2 linked regions of the Caenorhabditis elegans genome follow. The protein of the gene in region 1 interacts with the protein of each later gene in a pairwise test. Each region holds a gene or a part of one and is shown on either strand. Other genes may lie near its edges.

Region 1 (3,264 bases):
TGTCGGTTTACGGAACTCAATTGTGAATCGGTAAAATAATAAGAGAACAAAAAAACAAAACGTGACGAAAAAAAAGAAAATTGAACAATGCTGTCACAATTCTGCTGTCACAATAATTCGAATAGAAATTCGTTTCGAAAATCGAGTTCTCGTAAATCGACACCAGTACCACAGTAATCGTTGTAAAGTTACTGTAGTTTTCAATACGAGATATTTTGTTCGTCAAATATGTTGCACAATACGCATTCTACGAATTTAGTGTTCCTTTAATATTACAGGAATGATAAGAAGTGATTATACATTATAAGATACAATTTTTACATATGTATTCTCTGTCCTACGATACTTGTTTTCCAGTCTCTTTATGTTCACACGAGCATTGCCAAGTTCATTTGAAATGTGTTGGATTAAGTTGATGACTATGATCAAGATAGTTGCACAGTAATGAACATCCCGTGAAAAATCAGAAAATTTCAAATTAAAGAATGTCTTTCAAATAATGTGCAAAGTCAGGATAAAATGCAAACATTTATTGTACTATGGCAATTTTGGAATGGTTAGTACTACATTACATTATTGAGCATGCATACACGGTAGTTATTATTGAATTATCGACTGCGACGATGACGGATCTTTCTTGGCTTTCAGGCGAGCTATCTGAAAATGAAATTGATGAGATTAGTTGGCTAGCCCGCGTGATTTCAATCAACGATAATAATGAGAGCTGTAACATGATTTAAAACATGATTAAAACAGGATTGTAGATCTGAATTATTAGGGATTCTAAGAGCGATTGACTAAATGTTTCAACAGAAGTATGAGCATGAGGGAGGGAGTTTCTAAAAATTATTCTCAATCAACTTCAACATAACTATATTACAGGAACGCAATATCCTGGGAATGCTATTGCGCAATATATTTAACGCGCAAAATATTTCGTTGCGAAAACTACAGTAACTCTTTAAATGACTACTGTGGCGCTCGTGTCGATTTACGGACTCGATGTTCGGAATAAATTGAAATCAGTTTTTTATCGAGAAAATATAAACATTAATCAAAAAGTGAGAAAATAATACAAAAAGGAAAATGGAGTATCGCTGTCACTATTCGAAAATAAACTCATTTCGAAAACTGAGCGCGTAAATCGACTTAAGCTCTACAGTATTAATATAAAGAACACGGTAGTTTTCGCTACGAGATATTTTGCGCGGCAAATACGTTGCGCAATACGCATTATCAGAATTTTTTGTTACCCCAATATTGCATAAATAAGAAATATTAACTAACCTCTTCTCTGAGTTTTGCATTTTTTGATTCTTGTTCGGCAACATCAACTGACAACGTTGCACTATCGGATTGGCCTTTTTCGATCGACTCAATTGCTTTTTTCAGAATGACAGCTCTCGATGCTTGAACCCTTTCCCCGTTGGCATCAGGGACTACTTCTCTCAGACTTGTGTACATATCCTTGATATTATCACGTCTTCGTCGTTCAAGAGCGTTGTGCTGTTCTCGAGCATGCCGCTTCGGATCAAACGGCCCGCTGTGTTCTCCGGAACCACAGTGACCTGTCTGGTCATCTTCGAGGTCACTCATGTCAGACATCTGAGGTTTATTTTCCATTAGGGAAGTGAACATGTAAATAATATTTAATTTGAGATATAGAAAAAGGCTCATGAGAACCATGTAAAATAACTTTACACGTAAATTGTGTTTTAATAGCATATTCATTATCACAGAGATCTAATAAATAATATGTAGGTAATATATACATAAAACTTAAATCGAAGATTGATATGAAAACAGACCATGTAACAATAGATCAAACCAAAAAATACGAATAAAACTTCTTAACACTGGGATAAGAAATTTGAAGATTCACGAGTATGTAGTAAAAGTGAAGACTAGAGAAATAAAAAAATTGAATATGAGAAAATAGAATGGTGGGAAAGGGAAACTTAGACAAACAATTGGCCACACGTTTGGAAGAATCTTATCTATACATGTAATTAACCTCAAAACCGGCGTAGAAATGTATAAAAAGCACTGGTGTAAAGTATAGGCACAAAATTATCTTCTCCTATTTCGTAGGTTATAGCGTTGTCTGTTGTTTTGAATTGGACGTGGTTGTTCCACTTGAACTCTTTCTTGCTCGGGAACAGGAGGAGTGACAGATTTACGTGATGGGAATGTAACGAAGCGAGCTGTGCTGAATATGATGAGGGTGAATCCGGAAAATAGTTCGAGAGGCGATGTGATTAAATAGAGGAATGCTGGCACAAGTCCGTAAACGAGTAATCGCAAAGTAATCTGTCGATTTCCGAGATTTGAAACAAGACCGAAGAGATAGAGTCCGCCGGCGTAAAATGCAGGTTGATATTGCAGTTGGTACACGATAAGAGAATCCGTCGAGAACCACGGGAAGCCGACCAGTTTGAGAATATATGGGATCAATGTCGGGAGAATCAGAAGAACTGCCCGTGGATGATGACGCTGAAAGAAAAAACAATATTAAAAAAGTTGTATTACTTTTCCAGGTTACTAACATATGCGAGGAGAATAATCAAAACAATTGATCCCTCATTTCTTGCCATGATTGTGATTGCTGATCCAACCAGGTACAGGCCATTCATTAACTTGTCATCGCGGAGCGCCAAATGTCCTGTTTTGACAAATCCAATTCTTGACACAATAAGCCAGTCAACGACAAAGCATATCGCTCTCCAACCCAGTGCCATGAAATATCCCAAAGCCATGGGGAGTGTAGTGGTGTCCGTGTAGTCTGTACTTCCGTGAATCACAAAAAATAAGGCAACAAGGTTGGTCAACAAAACAGCCGTCGTACTGTAGAACAGTGTCTCACGAACCAAAATAGCGAAGAATACGCTAATCACAATCATGGTTCCGCCTACTTCATGTAAATGAGAGAACACGATCTGCAAGAAACTATAAATTTCTGAAAAGCATAAATCGAGACACTCACCTCATAAAAACGCCATAACTGCACTGTCATTGGAGGGCTCATTTGAATATCAATACTACAGGGAGCTGTCACATCGAGAACTAAACGAACTTCTTCTTTTTCCAATGCTCGATAAATCCACGTTTCCACTGCACCATCCGACGAGTTTTTGAAATACATCATAGATTCATCATAACGAACTGTGGTCATAGAGTTCACTACAAAATAATATTGTTATATTGATAAAAATTCTAAAAATTACACAAAACCAAAAATAAGGAGTATAAAAACTACTCACCACA
Region 2 (6,101 bases), on another chromosome or scaffold:
CAATTTTAAAAAAATTGTCCGAATGGCGCAGTGGGATTTCCGCCGGCTACCAATCAAGAGACCGGGGTTCGAGTCCGCGGCGTGGCGAATATTTTCAATTTTTTGCCAATTTGATGTGATTTTTAGCAATTTAAAACCTCAAAACCTAGAAATTTAGAACAAAAAGTTTTTGAAAGTTGGGTTTTGAGTCGAAATTATCAATTTTCTAGTTATTTTCTTCTAAAAACGATTTTTCCTATAGTTTAAGATAATAACAATCATCTAGAGGCTTATAAATCAGAAAAATCGAGTTTTAAGCTTTTCGAAAAAAAAAGTGTCCGAATGGCGCAGTGGGATTTTCGCCGGCTACCAATCACAAGACCGGGGTTCGAGTCCGCAATGTGGCAAAAATTTTTATTTTCTATTTGTAGTGGTTTTGAGATGAAATTTGTTATTTTAAAGCTCGAAATTTAAAAAATAAAATATTTTTTTATCCCAAAATTTCAATTTTCTAATTTTTTTAGGCGCCAATTTTTTTTTCCAAAAAATGAGCGATTTTCTATAGTTTTAAAAGAAAAAAAAAAGTGGATTTATTTACAATCAGTATCGAAAATCGAAGATCAATAAAAACAACGAGTTTTCAAAAAAAAGGGAGCTTAGATGAAAAAAAAAGATTAAAACCCGGTGACAACTGGGAGGTAATTCCTGGGTAAAAATAGTGAAAACCGGTCGAAAAACAAGTGAAAATGGGTAAAAAATGATGATTTAAGGCTTATTTAAGGCTTATTTCAGGCAAAAAACGTGGCATTGATAGCCCAATGATCAGATGGGAAGCACAAACAGGAACGGATGCGTTGGCGGCCTTCAAGTGTGAATTTGACTTTGTCCAGTGGTCCAGACCAGTATAGGCGGTCGAATCTGAAAATTTGAAGCTTTTTAGATTTTTTAAAAAATTGAAAAAAATCGATTTTTGTTTATTTTTTAAAAAATGATCGAATGGCTCAGTGCGCTTTTCGCCGTCTACCAATCACACGACCGGGGTTCGAGCCCCCGGTGTGGCAAAATATTTTTTATTTCTTTTTTATTTGTCTCTTCGCTTTTACCTCATCTTAGCGCCATGGAATCCCTGTTTATTGTCATTTTTGAAGGTGTCCCACGTGAATTTTGTCTTATTATCACTGCCGGCAGCCTCCCAGGCATCCTTAACACCGTCAGGCACACGGCTGACCTCCTCGTCTCGTAAGTTCAAATCGCCGCCGAAAAAGACGAGGGCGCCCGGGTTTTGAGCGATGATTTCACGGACTTTGTCCATGCAGAAGCCGAATTGAGCACAACGTTGCGGGCGGTGCTCACGTGTTGATTCGAGATGGGTGTTAAGTAGGAATACCTGCAAAAAACGAGAAAATTGGTTGAGGCTCAGGCTACAAACTACAAAAATTTGTTAAATTTGCCGAAAAGCGAATGATTTTAATAGAAATGTTCAGTTTTCTTTCAAAAAAATCAATTAAAACGAGGAAATTCTTCAGTTTTTTTTCGGGAAAGTGGTTGTGGCTCAGGTTACAAACTACAAACTCGGCTTAGCCTCACCAAACATTTCCGAAGCGAAATCTGATGAAAATACTCGAAATTTCCCTCATTTTTCTTCAAAAAAAGCTCCAAATTTTCAAAATTCTAGGGATTTCCCTCAAAAATCAGAAGAAAAACTGAAAGAATCAGGGTTTTAACCAGAATTCCGAAAAAAAAATTGGTTGAGGCTCAGGCTACAAACTACAAAATCGGCTTAGCCTCACCAAACATTTCCGGAGCGAAATCTGGTGAAAATACTCGAAATTTCCCACATTTTTTCTCAAAAAAGCTCAAATTTCCATAACATTTCATGTATTTCCGACAAAAATCATTGAAAAATTCAAAAAAATTACAAATAAAATTGATTGAAGCTCAGGCTACAAACTACACATTTGGTTAGCCTCACCAAAGTTTCAACGAATTTTTTTCGAACTCACACTACATACTGTGATTTTCAGCTAGAAATTGCAGAATTCTGATTGAAAAAAATCAATTATATCTCGAAAATCTTACAACAAAAAAGAGATTTTCAGGAAGACATAGGGATTTTCCGTAAAATTTGACCGAAAATTGATTTTAAAACCTGAAAATCTAGATTTTTTCAGTGGAAAATCCCATTTTCTGTAAAAATTTGAAGTTTTTTGCAAGAAAAACAAGAGGGAAAACATTTGAGGGGAAAAATTGGTTGAGGCCTACACTACAAACTACAAATGTGGTTAGCCTCAACCAATATACATTTTGCTCGATTTTAAGGTATTTTTTGCGGAAATTGATTGATTTTTACGGGAATTTTTATATTTTGTTTTGAAAAAATGGATTAAAATGCGAGAATTTTTCAAAAAATCTTTTTTTTCAGTAAAAAACTGAAAAATTCGATTATTGCGATAAAAATTGATTGAGGCTCAGGCTACAAATTACAAATTTGGGTAGCCTCAACCATCATTTTCACTCATTTTTAGCGGTTTTCCGGGATTTTTTCTTAAAATTTCGTCTATTTTCTGAAAAATTAACCTTCAAACCGCCAATAGATCCCTCCAAAATCTGCAAAGTTCTGTACATTCCAGAATTCTGAAAATGAATGACGTCATGCTTCTCGACGTCGAACATTTTCGACACAAGAATCGCCGTATAATATTGGCAGCCTTTGTTCGAATAATAGATTTTATACAGCGATTGAAGCTTATCAATCGGCGCCAAATCACGGTCGACGACTTCTTGGAGGAATAGGATGTCCGGATTGACGCTGAAATTTTTTTTTGGCGTTTCAGGTTGATTTTTGAAGATTTTTGACGGTTTTTAGTGATTTTTTTGCTGATTTTGCATCAAAATCAACTAAAAATTTGAAAATTCCGTGAAAAATCGCCGATTTTGCTCACTTTTTGACAATATGAGCCACTGCTTTCATTCTTGTGAGCAAGCTTCTCCCGTCGAGCCCATCAATGTTCCACGACATTACGCTGACTTCGAATCCCTGAAAAAATTTGAAATTTGTTGGAAAAATCGCGAAAAAAGTGAATTTTTTTTTGGTGAGGCTAAGCCGAGTTTGTAGTTTGTAGTCTTAGCCTCAACCAATTTTTTTTTCGGAATTCAGGTTAAAAGCGTGATTTTTTTCAGTTTTTCTAAAGATTTTCGAAGGAAATTCATGAAATTTTATGGAAATTTGAGCTTTTTTGAAGAAAAATGAGGGAAATTTCGAGTATTATGCTTCGGAAATGTTTGGTGAGGCTATACCGATTTTGTAGTTTGTAGTCTTAGCCTCAACCAATTTTTTTTCGGAATTCCGGTTGAAAGCGTGATTTTTTTTTAGTTTTTCTACTGATTTTTGAAGGAAATCTATGAAAATTTATGGAAATTTTAGTTTTTTTGATAAAAAATGAGGAAAATTTCAAGTATTTTCGCCAGATTTCGCTTTGGAAATTTTTGGTGAGGCTCGGCCGATTTTGTAGTTTGTAGCCTGAGCCTCAACCAATTTTTTTTTTCGGAATTCCGGTTGAAAAAGTGATTTTTTTCAAATTTTCAATGATTTCTGTGAAAAATCACTGAAATTTTACGGAAATTGCAGCATTTTTGAGGTTTTTTAACTCGAAAATCGATGTTTTTAGGTGGTTTGGCTTGATTTTGCTCCAAATATTCTTCTATTAACCTTCAAATCCTCTGCCGTCATCACCGCAGCTCCAGAGCTCGCCATAGACGATGAAGCGCCCATTACGGCCGCACTTCTGGCCTCTGCGAACGCCTCACTCCCGTAAAAAACGTCCAGAGCCTTCTTCAAATCCCAGTCTACATCCTGTAAAATCGACTGCGCAAAAGCCTCATCTGTGGCCGTGATTATTGCAAATTCATGCAGTTTTTGCTCGTCGCTCACTGAAAAATCGCGGATTTTCGCCTTAATTTATTGATTTTTCGGGTTTACTCGACGAATTTTTCAGTTTTCCTTGCTCCGGCTCATCTAGAATCTCGATTTCGACCTCGGAATCTTCTTGGGACACTGAAATATATTTTATTTGATTTAAAATTCAAATATTTTGAATTTCCAGCTGCAAAGCCTTACTTTTCTGTCGTTTAGCCTCAATTTCCTGTATTTCATCGTCAGAATTCGACATTTTTGAGCTGAAATTAGAGGATTTTATCATATTTTTTCAGAAAACGCGAAAAATCCACACGATAACTATTGAAATTCAAAAAATCGCGAAAAGAATAACTGAAAAGGCGGAGTCTAGCCGGGGGGCGTACCCTATTTGCAATCCTGGCACGCGTGTTGCAACTGCGGCGCACTTTTACCGAACGTGGAATTTTATATCGCGGATTTGGATCGTTTTTCTTCCCGTTATTTTCCCATTTTTCCTTGGTTTTCTTGCAGAAAATCCATAAAAATAGCAAGAAAAGTGAGTATTAGAGGTTAAAATCGATATTTTCACCATAAAAAAACCCCAGAAAACCGGCAAAAAACGATGAAAATCCGTGTGGAATTTTTTTAGACCTAGTTTCGCAATTTTTTCAATATTATCTTGAAGATTTTGATCTATTTTCGTGATCTTTACTTATTTTATGTGCCATATCCCGATTTTTATACCGAAAACCCGCGAAAATCTAGAGATTCCGATGGAATTGCTTTATTATATTACACGTGGAACTATTTTATTTCTTGATTTCTGCCGGTTTCTTGCTTTAAAATCTTAGAAAATAGCGTTTCAAGTGGGTTTTAGAGCCGAAAATTTAGATTTTCGATAGGAAAATCGCCTAAAAATCGATGAAACCATATTTTTGGCCTACTCCCGCTCTAATTTTGAAACTTTGATCTCGTTTAGGTCGAATTTCAACTAAAAAGTCGAATTTTCCTGTCAAAACACATGAAAATCCAAAATTTTCGTAAAAATATGAGCTCCGGATAAACTTGGGTGAGGCTGAGCCAATTTCGTAGTTTGTAGCCTGAGCCTCACCAAAATTCGGATTCTGTGTTTAATTCTTGATTTCTAGTTGATTTTCGCCGGTTTTTTTTTGCTTTTTTCTTTCTTTTTCTCCCGCAAAACCCAATTTTCCCTTTAAAAAACCCCCGTTTTTTCCAGATGGTGCATTCAAACGGAGCCATCACGAGCACAATTCTGAAGGCTCGTCACGCCGACGTCGTCCGCAAGACGTCACTTCACCACGCCAACGACTTGACACTCATCGATCTCGTGCTCAATGTGCAGCGGCTTTTGGCTCTCCCATCCGACGCGAATTTCGTGTTGAAGTACAAGGATGAAGGTAGGAATTGCACTGAAAATTGCGATTTTAATTCAATTTTTGTCAATTTTAGAAGGCGATTTGGTGACACTCGCCGAGGATAGCGACCTCCTGCTGGCTCTTCACACGTCTGGAGCCACGCTCGACGTGACCGTCGTTGTCGACTCGAGAGCTCGTGAGGCTGTGCACGATGTGCAGAAGCAAGTCGAGCAGATTAAGGTAAGGAGGATTTTGAGCGAAAAAAAACGATTTTTGAGCTGAAAAGCGCAATTTTGAGCGGGAAAATGCAAAATGTTGCAGAATTTTCATCGAAAATGCTGCATTTTTGAGCTTTTTAGACAAAAAAAAATCCGGAAAAACACTGAAAAATGTTGGTTGAGGCTAAGAAACAAGTGTAGTTTGTAGTGTGAGCCTCAACCAAACTAGCCAAAGCTTGAGTGAGGCTATGGTGATTTTGTAGTTTGTAGCTTTAGCCTCAACCAAATTAGCTAAAGCTTGAGTGAGGCTATGGTGATTTTGTAGTTTGTAGCTTTAGCCTCAACCAAATTAGCTAAAGCTTGAGTGAGGCTATGGTGATTTTGTAGTTTGTAGCTTTAGCCTCAACCAAATTAGCTAAAGCTTGAGTGAGGCTATGCAGCTTTTTTTTGTTTATAGTGTGAGCCTCAACCAATTTTGTTTTTAAAATTCACAAAATCTTTGGTTTTTCACTGAAAAATTGGAGAAATTTCAGCGTTTTCATTGATTTTTAAACAAAATTATCCAAATAATCGGTTTTTTTTTTCAATATTTTTAACACAAAATGGCTAAAAATTGGAATTTCTAGTACTACA

The links. Proteins that work in one complex are often made in the same cells at the same time.
Region 2: the proteins of mxl-1 (region 1) and tdpt-1 interact in a two-hybrid assay, tested with the Caenorhabditis elegans proteins (one study listed by BioGRID).

The regions. Positions count from the first base shown.
Region 1 is NC_003283.11:11,243,180-11,246,443, reverse strand, and holds mxl-1 (Max-like protein 1), read right to left. Parts: upstream 1,606-3,264; coding exon 1,288-1,605; intron 658-1,287; coding exon 601-657; 3' UTR 518-600; downstream 1-517. Other genes in the region: pgap-1 (GPI inositol-deacylase), read right to left, coding at 2,071-2,493, 2,547-2,936, 2,984-3,180, 3,261-3,264. UniProt on the Caenorhabditis elegans protein: Transcriptional regulator which binds to the E box motif 5'-CACGTG-3', when in a heterodimeric complex with mdl-1.
Region 2 is NC_003279.8:14,096,936-14,103,036, forward strand, and holds tdpt-1 (5'-tyrosyl-DNA phosphodiesterase), read right to left. Parts: upstream 4,156-6,101; 5' UTR 4,149-4,155; coding exon 4,097-4,148; intron 4,034-4,096; coding exon 3,959-4,033; intron 3,910-3,958; coding exon 3,689-3,909; intron 3,017-3,688; coding exon 2,922-3,016; intron 2,789-2,921; coding exon 2,557-2,788; intron 1,367-2,556; coding exon 1,083-1,366; intron 898-1,082; coding exon 768-897; 3' UTR 557-767; downstream 1-556. Other genes in the region: Protein tfg-1, read left to right, coding at 5,112-5,292, 5,345-5,490.